Tribolium castaneum: one gene and its partner. The protein of the gene in region 2 interacts with the protein of the main gene of each other region in a biochemical or structural test. Links are inferred from orthologs where the notes say so. Each region holds a gene or a part of one and is shown on either strand. Other genes may lie near its edges.

Region 1 (6,857 bases), on a different chromosome or scaffold from region 2:
CCAATAAATTAGTGAAGTGTTATGAATTTTAGGTTAGAATTTTCCACTGAAAAAATCATGAAATGCTGCGGTAAATCAACAAAACTACAATTAAGATTAACAACTTCTAGAATACACTTAAACGTAAATTATGCCAAAAGGTAGGCTTTTCAATGTCTTTGTAATAATTTTCCAATAAAGAAAGTGAACCAAACAATCATTCGTTATTCGTGTTTTCCTCGTCATCTCTCATTTGTCAACATAAGTTTCTTGCTTCAAAGATGCAATAATCATTCCGCATAGGTAATGTAATAATTGTGAAGCCCCAAAATTCGTACAACGCTCAAAATATCCGAATAAACGTTTTCCCGCCATTTATGGTTACTGTTTTCGACCTAGCTCAGTGGCGCCCCCAACGGTAATTTTACTTCCGAATAGGTTCTAACTTATGTCAATTTATCTGTGAAAATTGCGTCGATATTCCAGCGCCTACTACGATTTTCTAAAAATGATAAACTACAAATTACAATAACTCGATTTTTTCAAACGCAACACTATATATTTTCTTGCACCACTGCATGGCATTTTTAAGAGCTTTTAGAAGATATAAGGTTTGTGGGGTCTATTTGTAAAAATGACGTAAGTTAAAAACTATAACAGTTAATTCTATAAAACCCGAGTACATGATATCGACATTTTAGTCACGATTTCAAAAAAAAATTATAAAAAATTGAGATTTCCATTAAAAAAAAACAGAACTTAGTTAGGTATTTTATTTTGAAATACACTGTATGCAGACTAAAATATTTTTAGAACGTGTCTTATTGTAAGACCTATCGTTTAAAAAAAATAAATTGATAGCTTGAATAGAAAAAACGTTATAGAGCGTGCACGCACCTCTGGGTCTGTATGAATATACTGCAACCATTGCAAGCTCTAAAAAAATCAGAAATTCTTTAATTTCTGAAGCTAAAGACATACCTAGTGACATAATTAACGTGTATACATCTTCACAGAACCTCTATAAGTTGTTTAACCTCATAATTAAACATTTAGTATAATCTTCAAACAAATATAACAAAAATGTTATATTACACCAATATAAGACCCTTTTACTGAAATAAAATCGACCACCACAAATTTAGCTTGTTTTAGTCAATATGTTTCTAAAACTATAAGACTGCAACAAGCAAATAGACGTCTAAAGTAGGATTTTCATTAAATGATTTACTGACATCATACCTATCTCATAAAATAATTTCACGTTTGACTCTTTTTCACCGTCTAGTCGCACCCTTATTTTTAATTAATTTGGATGCATTACGAATGTTATTTCCCTAGAAAAATTACTATTTGTGGATGACTTAAAACTGTTCTTGGAAATTCCCTGTAGATATACCTGATTACGAATGTTTAATGATTTAATACAACTCAATGAATAAGCGGAAAATAATAGTTTAAGTCTAAATACAGATAAATGTTATGTTATGACTTGCTTCCGTAAAGAAACAAATCTGTCAGACAACAGATTTTATAAATCCTATGAGATGTTAGGTTTCATTTATACAGAGTGTCTCAAAAGTGGCGAATTCTGAGTTCAGAATATTGTAGAAAATTACTTCAGTAGTCCAAACGTAGAAAAAAAATTAAGATTGGGGGCTTCCCCACAAAAATACACTGCTTTGAAGATCCTTAATTTTGGTAATTTCCGTTTGATTTTTAAGAAAAATTACGAAGATTTAAGATTATTTTACTTCAAAATTCAGCAAATTTTTCGAAAAATTGTTTTACATTATTATTTTTCATAATCATCTACACCATAAATATCAGCTCATAGTAAAATTTTGCAACAGCGCATTTAAATTTTTTGGAGTGAAATACATCACAAATTGAGAGTTTCTATTGGCTTATCTTAGTTCAAAACGATTTAGTTTAACACATAATTCTTTTCTTTTACAGAAACTGTCAATTTGTGTTTTATTTTTCACTCTGAAAAATTCTAAGTGCACCTGAAGTGCGCCTCCAAACCAATGTATCTTTGCGGAAAAGCACCAAATCTTTAATTTGTTTCTGCATTTGGACTAGTGAAATGATTCTCTACAACGCTGTAGATTTCATCAAAATGGATGTACTAATTTTATTCTTTAATGCGCTAATTAGGTCTGAATTAGAGTATGCCAATTTGATTTGGAACCCCATCTAATAACCTTGCTAACCTTGAAGCTATACAACATAATTTTTTAAAATTTCTCTATTTTCCCTAACATCTGATACGATAGTGTCGGTGTGTAACCAACCACCTAGAGGCTACAATCATACTTTATTACTAATAAGCTGATTTAACAGTATCTCATTAGACCTCCCTCGTTCAGTCTGAACAAAATTCCCTTTCATGTCCCTACAATTATTTTCTTGATGTAGCCTAACTTGTTAGGTACTCCCTTGTGGAGCAATGACCGCGAAACTAATGAAATTAATGATGGTCTACAAGTTATTATAACAAATTTTAGAAATAGCTGACTTTGTCACTTTTTCTTATTAATAAAAATAATTAATAATTATTCATAAAAAGTATGAAAAAATTGCAACTAAAAAGTGAGGTTATGTTGTGTTCATAATAAACTCAAAAAAGCCAAAATTTCGCCACTTGTCCCCCATTTTTGGCAATTCAATAATACTTGAAACCCAATTGTAGAAAAAATCTGCAAAACAAAATTATGCAATTACGGAAAAACTAACAAAAAAGTGAGGTTATGTTTCAGTAAAAAATATCCAAATTCTGTAGTTTCTCGTAGCCTAATTTTGGTAGAAATGGGGCAAAAAGTAACTTTTTACCTGTCACATCTGGTGGCGGTTCGGGGTACTCCCTGTCGCGTATTTCCGATATAATTTCACTATTGGAGGTTACTGTTACTAAAGGCGATTCCCCGTTGTGTTCTTCTCTGATAGACTGTTCAACTAGGTCGACTGTACAGGGGATTTGTACTAGTTTGTGGCATTTTTTATGGACGAGGAGCTTGCATTGAATGCACTTGAAACCTTGTCGCCCCAAACCCCAAATCCGGTCATTGCAAAATGCACAAAAGGCTCTCTAAACAATTAATTATTTTTCCTATAGTTTTGACCAAATATTCAACTTACTCGATTGAAACGTTTGGCCTGAAAGATGTGTCCATTGACACGGTAAAGTTTCCTCCAACGACGAGCACCCCTCCTGTAAATACTCCCTGAAAAGAGTAATCGGTTCAAAACCACATAAAGCAAGGTTTTTTTATACCAAATTTTGCCTTATGGTGCCGTTTACATATCAAAATGTATTGCAAGATTCGTAGCATTGTTATTTCGCAAACGCCATTTTCAAATCGAGAAACACTGACAAAAAATTATCAGTAACATCGAGATAATGTTTGAAAATCGCGCCTTTGTAATAAAACGAATTAACCGTAGGCGTTGCCAACATATTTTTTGTGTTGGCGAACTTGTAACACCACCCCCGCTATAATTACGAATAATACTTACTGTCCTCCCCTTGACAGGGCATTCCGGGCTGTGGCGGCACATTCGGGAAAACTGTGGACAAAATAGACTCAAATAAATAATTAGTCTCTTCCATGATTGTCGAATAATTGGAGTAAAATCGAATCGGCGAGAATTAGCCAATAGATAAGATAAAACTAATCAGTAGAGCGAGTCAGGTAGCACAACAAAATAACTAAAATTCGCCCAATTGGTGACACCACGTTCGAGGGGTTGCAAATCACCCCTCTGGCCAATAATGAAAAAAATAAATAAATTCGTGTTTTGTGACGAACCTCCGGGGAACGCGGCCGCTAAAACCGAGGACGCGTCATAGCTCAAAGTCGGATGAAGGGAGTAGAGAATCGCAGCATCGGACATCCCTTTCCATATTTTAAAATTGCCCCACCAGGGTTTACCGTCCCCCATGTTAAAATTCACGTAACGCGACCCATCTTCACAACACGCACGTTACTATTTCAGGTGAAACTATAGATAAACGATTATCTCGGACAAATGCGATAACGTTGTTTGAATTTCGGTGGGAGGAAGTTCTGAATGGAATTCGTTATTAATGTTAATATCGCGGCATAAAAGTTGAAAATTCGCCATATGGCCGTATCGATTGTCTCAAGATTGAGGTCAAACGGCCGATAACTTGTGGTGGTTTTTCCCGGATTCGGGAAATCAACAGACAGGTGCTTGTTCGGAAGCCGGAGCTTTTGTTTCCTGATTAGAAAATCTATAATTGCGGATAATCGAGAGAAGGACGCTCAAAAAACGGAAATTGTGGAAGAGGGGGAGCTTTACTGCCTAATTGCGACCCTTAATCGACGGCGCGGTGACGCGTAATCTTAAATTAAATCTACGATAAAGCGAAGAGATTGGCATGAGTGCATAATATTTACAAAAACATTTTGTATTTTTTGCATAAATCGTAATCGAGTTGAATATAATACCTCAAGAATCAGTTAAGAAGTCGTTTATTTCCTCACTTTGAAATGATATGGTCAAATATTTCTCAGAGGGTTATTTTACGACCCCAGTGGTTTCATTATGTGCAGACCGCGTCACAGCTTGTGAAAGATATCATTATACTTTGAAAAATAACTTTATGGCTCTTTTTATAGTATCTTTAAAAATTACATTGTATTTTGCGAAAATAGGGGAACTGCTCGTGTATTTTATGATACAATTATTTTTGCAGATAAGCGTAGGTATTTTTTGCCAAAAAATTCTGGCGTTTGTTCCATAAAGTTTCTAATAATTTTCGAAAAGTCGTTGAAGTAGAATAAATTCCTCAAAAGGCCAGAGGCAGATTTTTGGGTTAAACCGCGTTGTTTTCGATAGTCAGGAAGATGCCTAAGAATGCTCATTAAGTATTATTTCATTTATTACTATTTATATGTTATTATGTTATTTAATTATTTATTTATGTTTTTATATTATGAACTTCTGTTGGATTTTCTTGGCGATTAACAAAAATTCAGTTTTATACCCGACACACTAAACTTTTTTTCTAACACAACATGTTTTAACCGCAATGTGGTCATCCTCAGGAGAAAATATAAATTGTGTCGTTATGCTCATCTGGAGATTTTGGTTATGTCGAATGTAAAACTGTTTTTATACGTTATATATTTTTATGTATCACTATTTTATTTATTATTTTAGTTTTGTGACATCCTTATCAAGGGTTTTAAAGGGTGCTCAAAAACTGGCGCACCGATTCAATGGTACGTTTTTTAAAAAATATGAAGCTACAAATTTATTTTGTTAACTTCTTCAATTTTCATTATTTTTTGATATTTTTGTGATTCACATTAAATGTTCTTTAACACAGTGATAAGTAATTATTTTTAAATTTAATATCAATCTTTAGCAGTTTCTTAAATTAAAAAAAAATTGATTTCATCAAAAAATAGAAATTTTTAGATGTGCTAATAGTCTCAGGTACGAATTAAGATCGTCCTGGACCCATCTGTTTACCGGATGAAACTTATTTTTTATCAAATATAATATGCAAAGAAATATATTGCGAATGGGTTGCCTAAAAATATGTTCAAAACTATGATTAAGGGAGCAAAAAATAGTTAAATTTTAGCCATTTTCCGCAGTTATTTACAACCGTTTTATGAAACATTTTTAAAAATATTTTACTGGAAACATTCTTCCACTCGGGCTCTAGAGAAAAAAGTCTTTTAAAATGCAGTCATTGTTTTATTTAATTCAGAAAAAAATTCTGAAAATTGAAAAAAAATCTTGTACTCTGAAAATTTTTTCCAACCAGTAAAACTAATTTTATCATATACAAACATTGTTTGTTTTTTCTTGAAAAAAACGGCAAACTTTTAATACCTATTACGATCCCACATTCATTTATAGACACTTTGTACTTCTATTATAGTACAATCCATTCACGATTAATTATCAGATAAGTTTTTTTTGACAGATATATCAAACACTAAATTCCATTCTACATCATAATCAATAATTTAAATCTGAATTTACCAAAAATTTGTTTCTTAATCCGAAAATGCTAAAAAAACCAAAATTTCTACTTAAATTTCCAGTACTACCACCTCTCTGTTGACATAGGATTTCACAATGCATTATTGGTAATATAGGTCAGTGGCGCCTTTTTTTGAAAAAACGTTAACTTCTAAAAAAAACCGTGTCTCATGTTAGGAACTATTAAGTCATAATATAATACGCATCTTTTCTATAAACAAACCAAATAAAAATTGTAATCTATGATTTCTCATAAAAGAAACAGAAGGTTCAATGTTTGATTTTTAAAATCCGAAAAAAAATATTTGAGGGACTATGACTAAGTTTTAATTACGATATAATATAATAAACATTTGGTGATTTTTTTATTCTTATTGGTGGAAAATTAATTAAAAAAATTTATCAATGTACCTATAAGAGAAAACGTTGCATTATTCTCCTACACGTAAAGAAAAAATGGCACTATCTGTGAAATCATTCACAAATAATGGGCAACTTTTCTTTACTTGTACAGGACGCTCAAAAACTGGGGTACCAACAAATGGAAAATAGAACAAATCTTAAATTAAAAAAGTAAAATTGGATCGACAAACCTATTTTGTTAACTTCTTCAGTTTTCATTATTTTTTTAATGTTTTTATGTTTTGCATTAAATAATCTATCCAGAACACATGATGAATAATTATTTTTATTCCTCGACACTGTCAAAATGTCTGGTTTTTCCTCCTGTGTAAGTTTTGACAACTGTTTGGTAGTTCTCAAAAAGAAACGTCAGATTATTTTTTAATAGATTTAAAGCAATTTTAAGCCTTGTTGTCATTTATTTAAAATTCGTTATTCGGTAACTTTAA
Region 2 (5,620 bases):
TAGGCTTTTCAATGTCTTTGTAATAATTTTCCAATAAAGAAAGTGAACTAAACAGTCATTCCTTATTCGTGTTTTCCTCGTCATCACTAATTTGTCAACATTTGTTTCTTGCACCAAAGACACAATAGTCATTCCGCATAGGCAATGCAATAATTGGGAAGCCTCAAAATTCGTACAACGCTCAAAATATCCGAATAAACATTTTCCCGCTATTTATGGTTACTGTTTTCGACCTAGTTCAGTGGCGCCCCCAACGATAATTTTACTTCCGAATAATAAGAAACTAACTCCAAAAAATTGACAGATTATGACGTAAGTTTAGTTGAGACTTTTTGTAACGAGGCTATATTTTTGACGATATTTTCCGAACGGTTAGTCGTAGCGACTTGATTTTTGCAAATTTGTATTCCGCCGGTCATTTTACGTTAGAAACACTCAATCATAAAGAAATAATTTCCAAAAATTTACATATAATGATGTAAGCTTAGTTGAGACATTTTTGTAACGAAATCATATTTTTGACGATATCTTCCGAACGGTTAGTCGTGGCGATCTGGTTCTTGCAAATTTGGATTCCGCCGGTCATTCTACGTTAGGAACACTTAATTATAAAAAAATAATTCCAAAAAATTAACAGATGATGATGTAAGTTTAGTTGACATTTTTGTAACGAGACCATATTTTTGACGATATCTGCCGAACGGTTAGTCGTAGCGATCTGATTCTTGCAAATTTGGATTCCGCCGGTCATTCTACGTTAGAAACACTCAATCATAAAGAAATAATTCTAAAAAAATTTACGTTAGAGATACAACATATACATACATGGAAATTTTTTATTCTGGAGTCAGTGTTTACAATAAAGAGTAAAACTAAAAATTTGTTTTTAATAATTAAGTTTGCTCAACTGAATTGGCTGTTTGTTGATAATAAATGCAAAAGTTTTTTTCTGATCATTTTTTGCCTCTCATCTTAAAGAATTCTTTCTAATTTCTTACTTATTAAGAGACTGACAATGGTTTTTCTTTTAGTTTTTAAGTATTTTTTCATTTCAAGATTATTTATAAAGTTTATTTTAATTTTTTATATATTTTTTATTAATTTCATTTTTTTCTTCGAGGTTAAGTTGAATAACTTCAAGCTAGACTTCGCTTTCCCATCTGTTCTTATTGTTTAAATTTATTCAATAAAGGCCCTTTTTTATTATTTTTATTGTTACTATTATTCGTATTATTATTATTATTATTATTGTTATTATTATTAATTATGCATTAATATTCTCTATAGCTTGTTTATTGGTTTACCAACAATTTAGTAATTTTTATAGTTATAGAGGACCCCAATTGTGTTACCACATTTTTTGTGGCTGCGAGCGAGAGTTGAAGTTTTTTCTTTTAATTTTTTTGAGTTTAATTCAATCTTCAATTGTGATCCAACTCTGATTTGCATTTTTTTCAGATTCAGATGCAGGAAGAGGGCGACCCGGCTTACAGCTACAGGGGCCCTTCGGGCGCCCTTAAAGTGATACGAGGACGGGGCTGTGAGGAGAGCTTTAGGGCCGCTGTGGACAAACACATCGTCGACCCGAACCACCAATCGGAAATAAGTAATTCATATCAAATTACCCTTTTGTTTTTCTAATTGGTTGATTTTCAGGCGCAAAGAAACACTGGTTGCTCGACGGCCCAATGGAAGAGCGCGAAGTTGACGGTTTTAACAACGTGAGAGGGGCCCCACGTCAATCCTCCCTTAATGCGGCCCTTGACAGTAAACACAAGGCGGGAAAAAAGAAACCGAGTTTGTTGAAAGGCATCGGTTCAATGTTCCGGTTTGGAAAACACCGGAAAATGGAATTTGCCAACATTGATATACAACACTACCATCCGACCAATGAGTTTGACCCCAATGTTAATAACAATCAACAACAAGCGGAACAGAATTACCAACAGCAACAACAACAACATGAGAATTCTACCCAGGAACAACAACAACAACAACATCAACAGCAGCAGCAACAACGTGTGCAACAAATGATGCAACAGCAGAGAGAGCCGTTGTATCAGAGGCACGGTTTTGTGCACCGACATGCTGAACAGGTCCAAGTGATTCCGGAGAATTCGGTGGCGCCACCTATCAAGTACCGGAATCACGTCACCGTTGATCAGCAAGGGCAGAGGCGGAAAATTCACGACCATAGAGTAAGACACACTTACTACCAGTCGGATGAGAGAGAGCCGATCTATGGACAACAAGTATGTAACTCTGGAGAAAAAGCAAAAAATAATAATTTTTTTAGGGGAATTTCGGGGAGTACGGTGGCAGGCCTGGCAGCCGGTCGGGAATCACCGATTCGGTCCCTTTCACCCACTACGTCAACTACAACGAGCTGCAAAACCACCTAAGGTAAGCCCCCATCAAAATAAGTCAAAGGTTATGGAAATATTGGGCCCCTCTCAGTGTCTACGTTGTGCACATTTCATTTGTTACTAACTCTGATTTGTTGCATGACATAACGTTCTGTTTTTTATGTTATGATGTTTATGTGTTGTCATTGTCATAATTGTATTTTGTCCACGCAGCCGTAAAGATCCACTATCTGACAGTCAGATAGTTCAGATGCGTCTGCAAGTTCAACAGCAAAGGTTAAAGGTGGAGGAAGAAAGGTATGCACTTTTTCCCTTTACACACTCTTGAGCTTTGCGACTAATTTTTTAAATTGCATGCACGCTTGCCGGTGATTGTGTAACGTGACTCTTGTTCCAAAAAATTAACACTTGAATAACGTCTGAAAATGTGATGCATGCAACCTAGTCCTCGAGTTTTAAGGCCAAAGGGGACCTGTTTTTACCCAACAGATGGCGCCATGTCTGATCACAAAAACATTGTTTTTCTACATCCAACGTGTTTATTAGGGTAAAGTGCACAGTTATTGAACAGTTAAGCAAAATTCTCAACTGGAAAAATCATTACCGCCTTCAGAATAAAGATATAGATAATTGCGTAATTCCAAAGTAAAGATTGAAATGTGCAGAAAATGCGAATTATTATAGAATGTTACAACCTGCATTCAATTTTTTTCCTCAGCATTTTTATTTATTAAGTGGAAAAATTATAGTTATGGACCTGTCCCGAGATGCCTTGATTTGCATGACAAAAGTAGAAGTAAAATCAAAGTTTGTTTAATTTCCAACAAAGTTCCAAATCAAATCTAATGCTTAATTAATAATTCACGTCATATAAATCATCTCGATCACGATCACTCTTAGTCATTTTGTCCTTTATCAGTTTTTTTTTCTTCTTCGTTAGTTTTATCACTTTTTGCTTCTATTTCTTCCTCATCGACATATATTAACTTATCCAGCCAACATTCACTATTGTCATCCCTATAATAGGGATGCTGTAAGTCTTGATTTTCATCATCGATAATGTGTTCCTTGTGACATCTGGGAACACAACGGTTGTGAAAGAAGTGTTCATACTTCACAAATGTTAGGAATAACCTTCCTTGTATTTCTTTTAGGCAGATTGAGCAAATAATTTTTAATTATACAGATTTCTGTTGTTTAATTTCCTCTTTCGATGTCTTTTTCAATTCGTATCTTCTTTTGTTGGTCCTTTTTTTTTTCAGAAGTTTTTGGATGGGCTAAGTAATTGTGTATTCACAGCTGACTAGATTTTTCTTGCTGTGTAATATTAGTCTCTGTATTCTTTATTCTTTCATTCCGAAGTACTATGATTTTTGGGCTTACTTCACTTTCTAATATAATGCTATTTTCTTGATCATTTGGACACCCCTGTTTAATAACTTCATTCACAAAAAGAAAAACGAAAAAGGTAACTATGCTACCTTTCTGTTGTGCTTTCAGTAGGAGTTCAAAAATAAATTTTCCTAAAATGAAAATGCGCAAAATATAAATTTTATAGTTACTGGAGATTGACTGATTGCCGTCAGTGTAAAAAATTCAAATAAAATACATGAAATAGCAAGATACAAACTTACCTTCGGTCTTAGAATTGTTGAAGACTTCGAAAAAAAATAAGATACCAAATAATACAACAGTTCCTGTGACATAGTTCAGATTATCACTTGCGTATACAGGGTGAGTCAATAGTGGGTTATTTCTGACATGTCCTAAGATGCAACCAAAAATACTAATTGCACTTCCTACTTGGATACTTTGTTTGATTTTTCAAAACATTAATTAAATCAGTATTGTTGGTTGCATATTTAAAAAATTCAGAACTAACCGACTATTGACTCAGTCTATCGATGTTTTCTTTTTTTTAACAAACATTTTATTTCCACTGGTGGTACTACAATTTATTTATATGACATGTAGATCAAACTACGTCTTTTCAAAAAAAACAATAGAAGAAATAGTTTACGCTTCATATCCTACTAATATGAGTTCAATAGCTATCCACTGTCGAATGTGTTTAAACCATTTATCTTTTGATTACAAAAGAATAGCTTCAATTAAAAAGTATTGGAAAACTGTATTTAGTTGCAGTGTGAAACAGTCTCTTTAGATCACTCTGTATTTCCGCTTTTCTTACACTCGCGGCAAATACTGTAATAATTAAATAAATATTTGTCTTTTAGATTTTAAGTTTTGTCCTCTTTGGCCTTACACTTAAAAAAAGTGTTTGTAATTTTAAATTAGTGACGTCACATTTTTTATCAGTCGAAAGCAGCACCAGTACCACTCCCAGCGCCAGACCCGCACCGACAACCAGCTTCGTCCCGTGTCGAACTTCTACGAGTACGAGAGTATCCAGTCGATGCTTAACAACCGTCGGGGGAACCCCCCGGTGCCCCATAGTAACCCGCCTGTGATGTACCAAGACGTGAACTCCAATTCCCTCCCTCGGCAAGGCCAACCACCCGTTCAAGGCCGGCACCCGAACCGTAACCACAGAGGGCCTTTTGTGACCCACGTGACTATCGGCGATAGCCAACAGAACGGGACTAAAGTGTAAAGGTGTTGAAACTGTTTTTTGTGATTTGTATCATCAGTATTATGAAACTGTTTCAGCGCCGCGTCCATTTTATCTGTATATACGAGCTTTATTTTATATTGTAAATAATTTATGATATGTATAATAAGAAAGTGAATTTTATACAAACAAGAAATACAGTTACAAAATTGTCCGTATTGCATCTTTATTTAAATAAGGTATACAATAAAGAATGGTGATATTACAATACAAATAAACACAACTTAAATGAAATTATGTAATTGAGGGAGTGGCGAGCACTCGAGAGCCAGCGCTGAGGTGTTTGGCGGGAGCTTGAAATGCAAAGTCTCCGTAGCATTCAATATAGAATTTGATATACACTTGCTCAATGTGAGCAATAATAATGAACAACATGCAGAGGCATGACTAACCTAAATCATAAACAAGCTAATTCATGATGGCAATGCGAACCGATGGGTATGGGTAACAAATGAGAAATAAATAAGTATAAAAAATCATAGTCTATAATATCACTAACAGCGAAATACGTATGGATGTCCACAAATAAAAACTCTGCACGTGTGTTCGGTCTCTAGGGAAGAACAGTAATCTGAATGTGTTTCTCAAGAGGTTACGGTGAAGAAGCTGTGAGTGTGAACAT

The links. The genes of interacting proteins can lie anywhere in the genome.
Region 1: of the proteins of partitioning defective 3 homolog B (region 2) and aPKC, one has a biochemical effect on the other in vitro, tested with the Drosophila melanogaster proteins (2 studies listed by BioGRID). The link is inferred for Tribolium castaneum from reciprocal best matches to the Drosophila melanogaster genes baz and aPKC.

The regions. Positions count from the first base shown.
Region 1 is NC_087399.1:9,784,466-9,791,322, reverse strand, and holds part of aPKC (atypical protein kinase C), read right to left. Parts: intron 3,550-6,857; coding exon 3,499-3,549; intron 3,207-3,498; coding exon 3,121-3,206; intron 3,071-3,120; coding exon 2,815-3,070; intron 1-2,814. UniProt on the Drosophila melanogaster protein: Serine/threonine protein kinase which is required for apico-basal cell polarity in the germ line as well as in epithelial and neural precursor cells, for epithelial planar cell polarity and for cell proliferation.
Region 2 is NC_087395.1:16,312,909-16,318,528, reverse strand, and holds the end of partitioning defective 3 homolog B, read left to right. Parts: intron 1-1,458; coding exon 1,459-1,606; intron 1,607-1,656; coding exon 1,657-2,252; intron 2,253-2,296; coding exon 2,297-2,403; intron 2,404-2,579; coding exon 2,580-2,663; intron 2,664-4,685; coding exon 4,686-4,980; 3' UTR 4,981-5,152; downstream 5,153-5,620.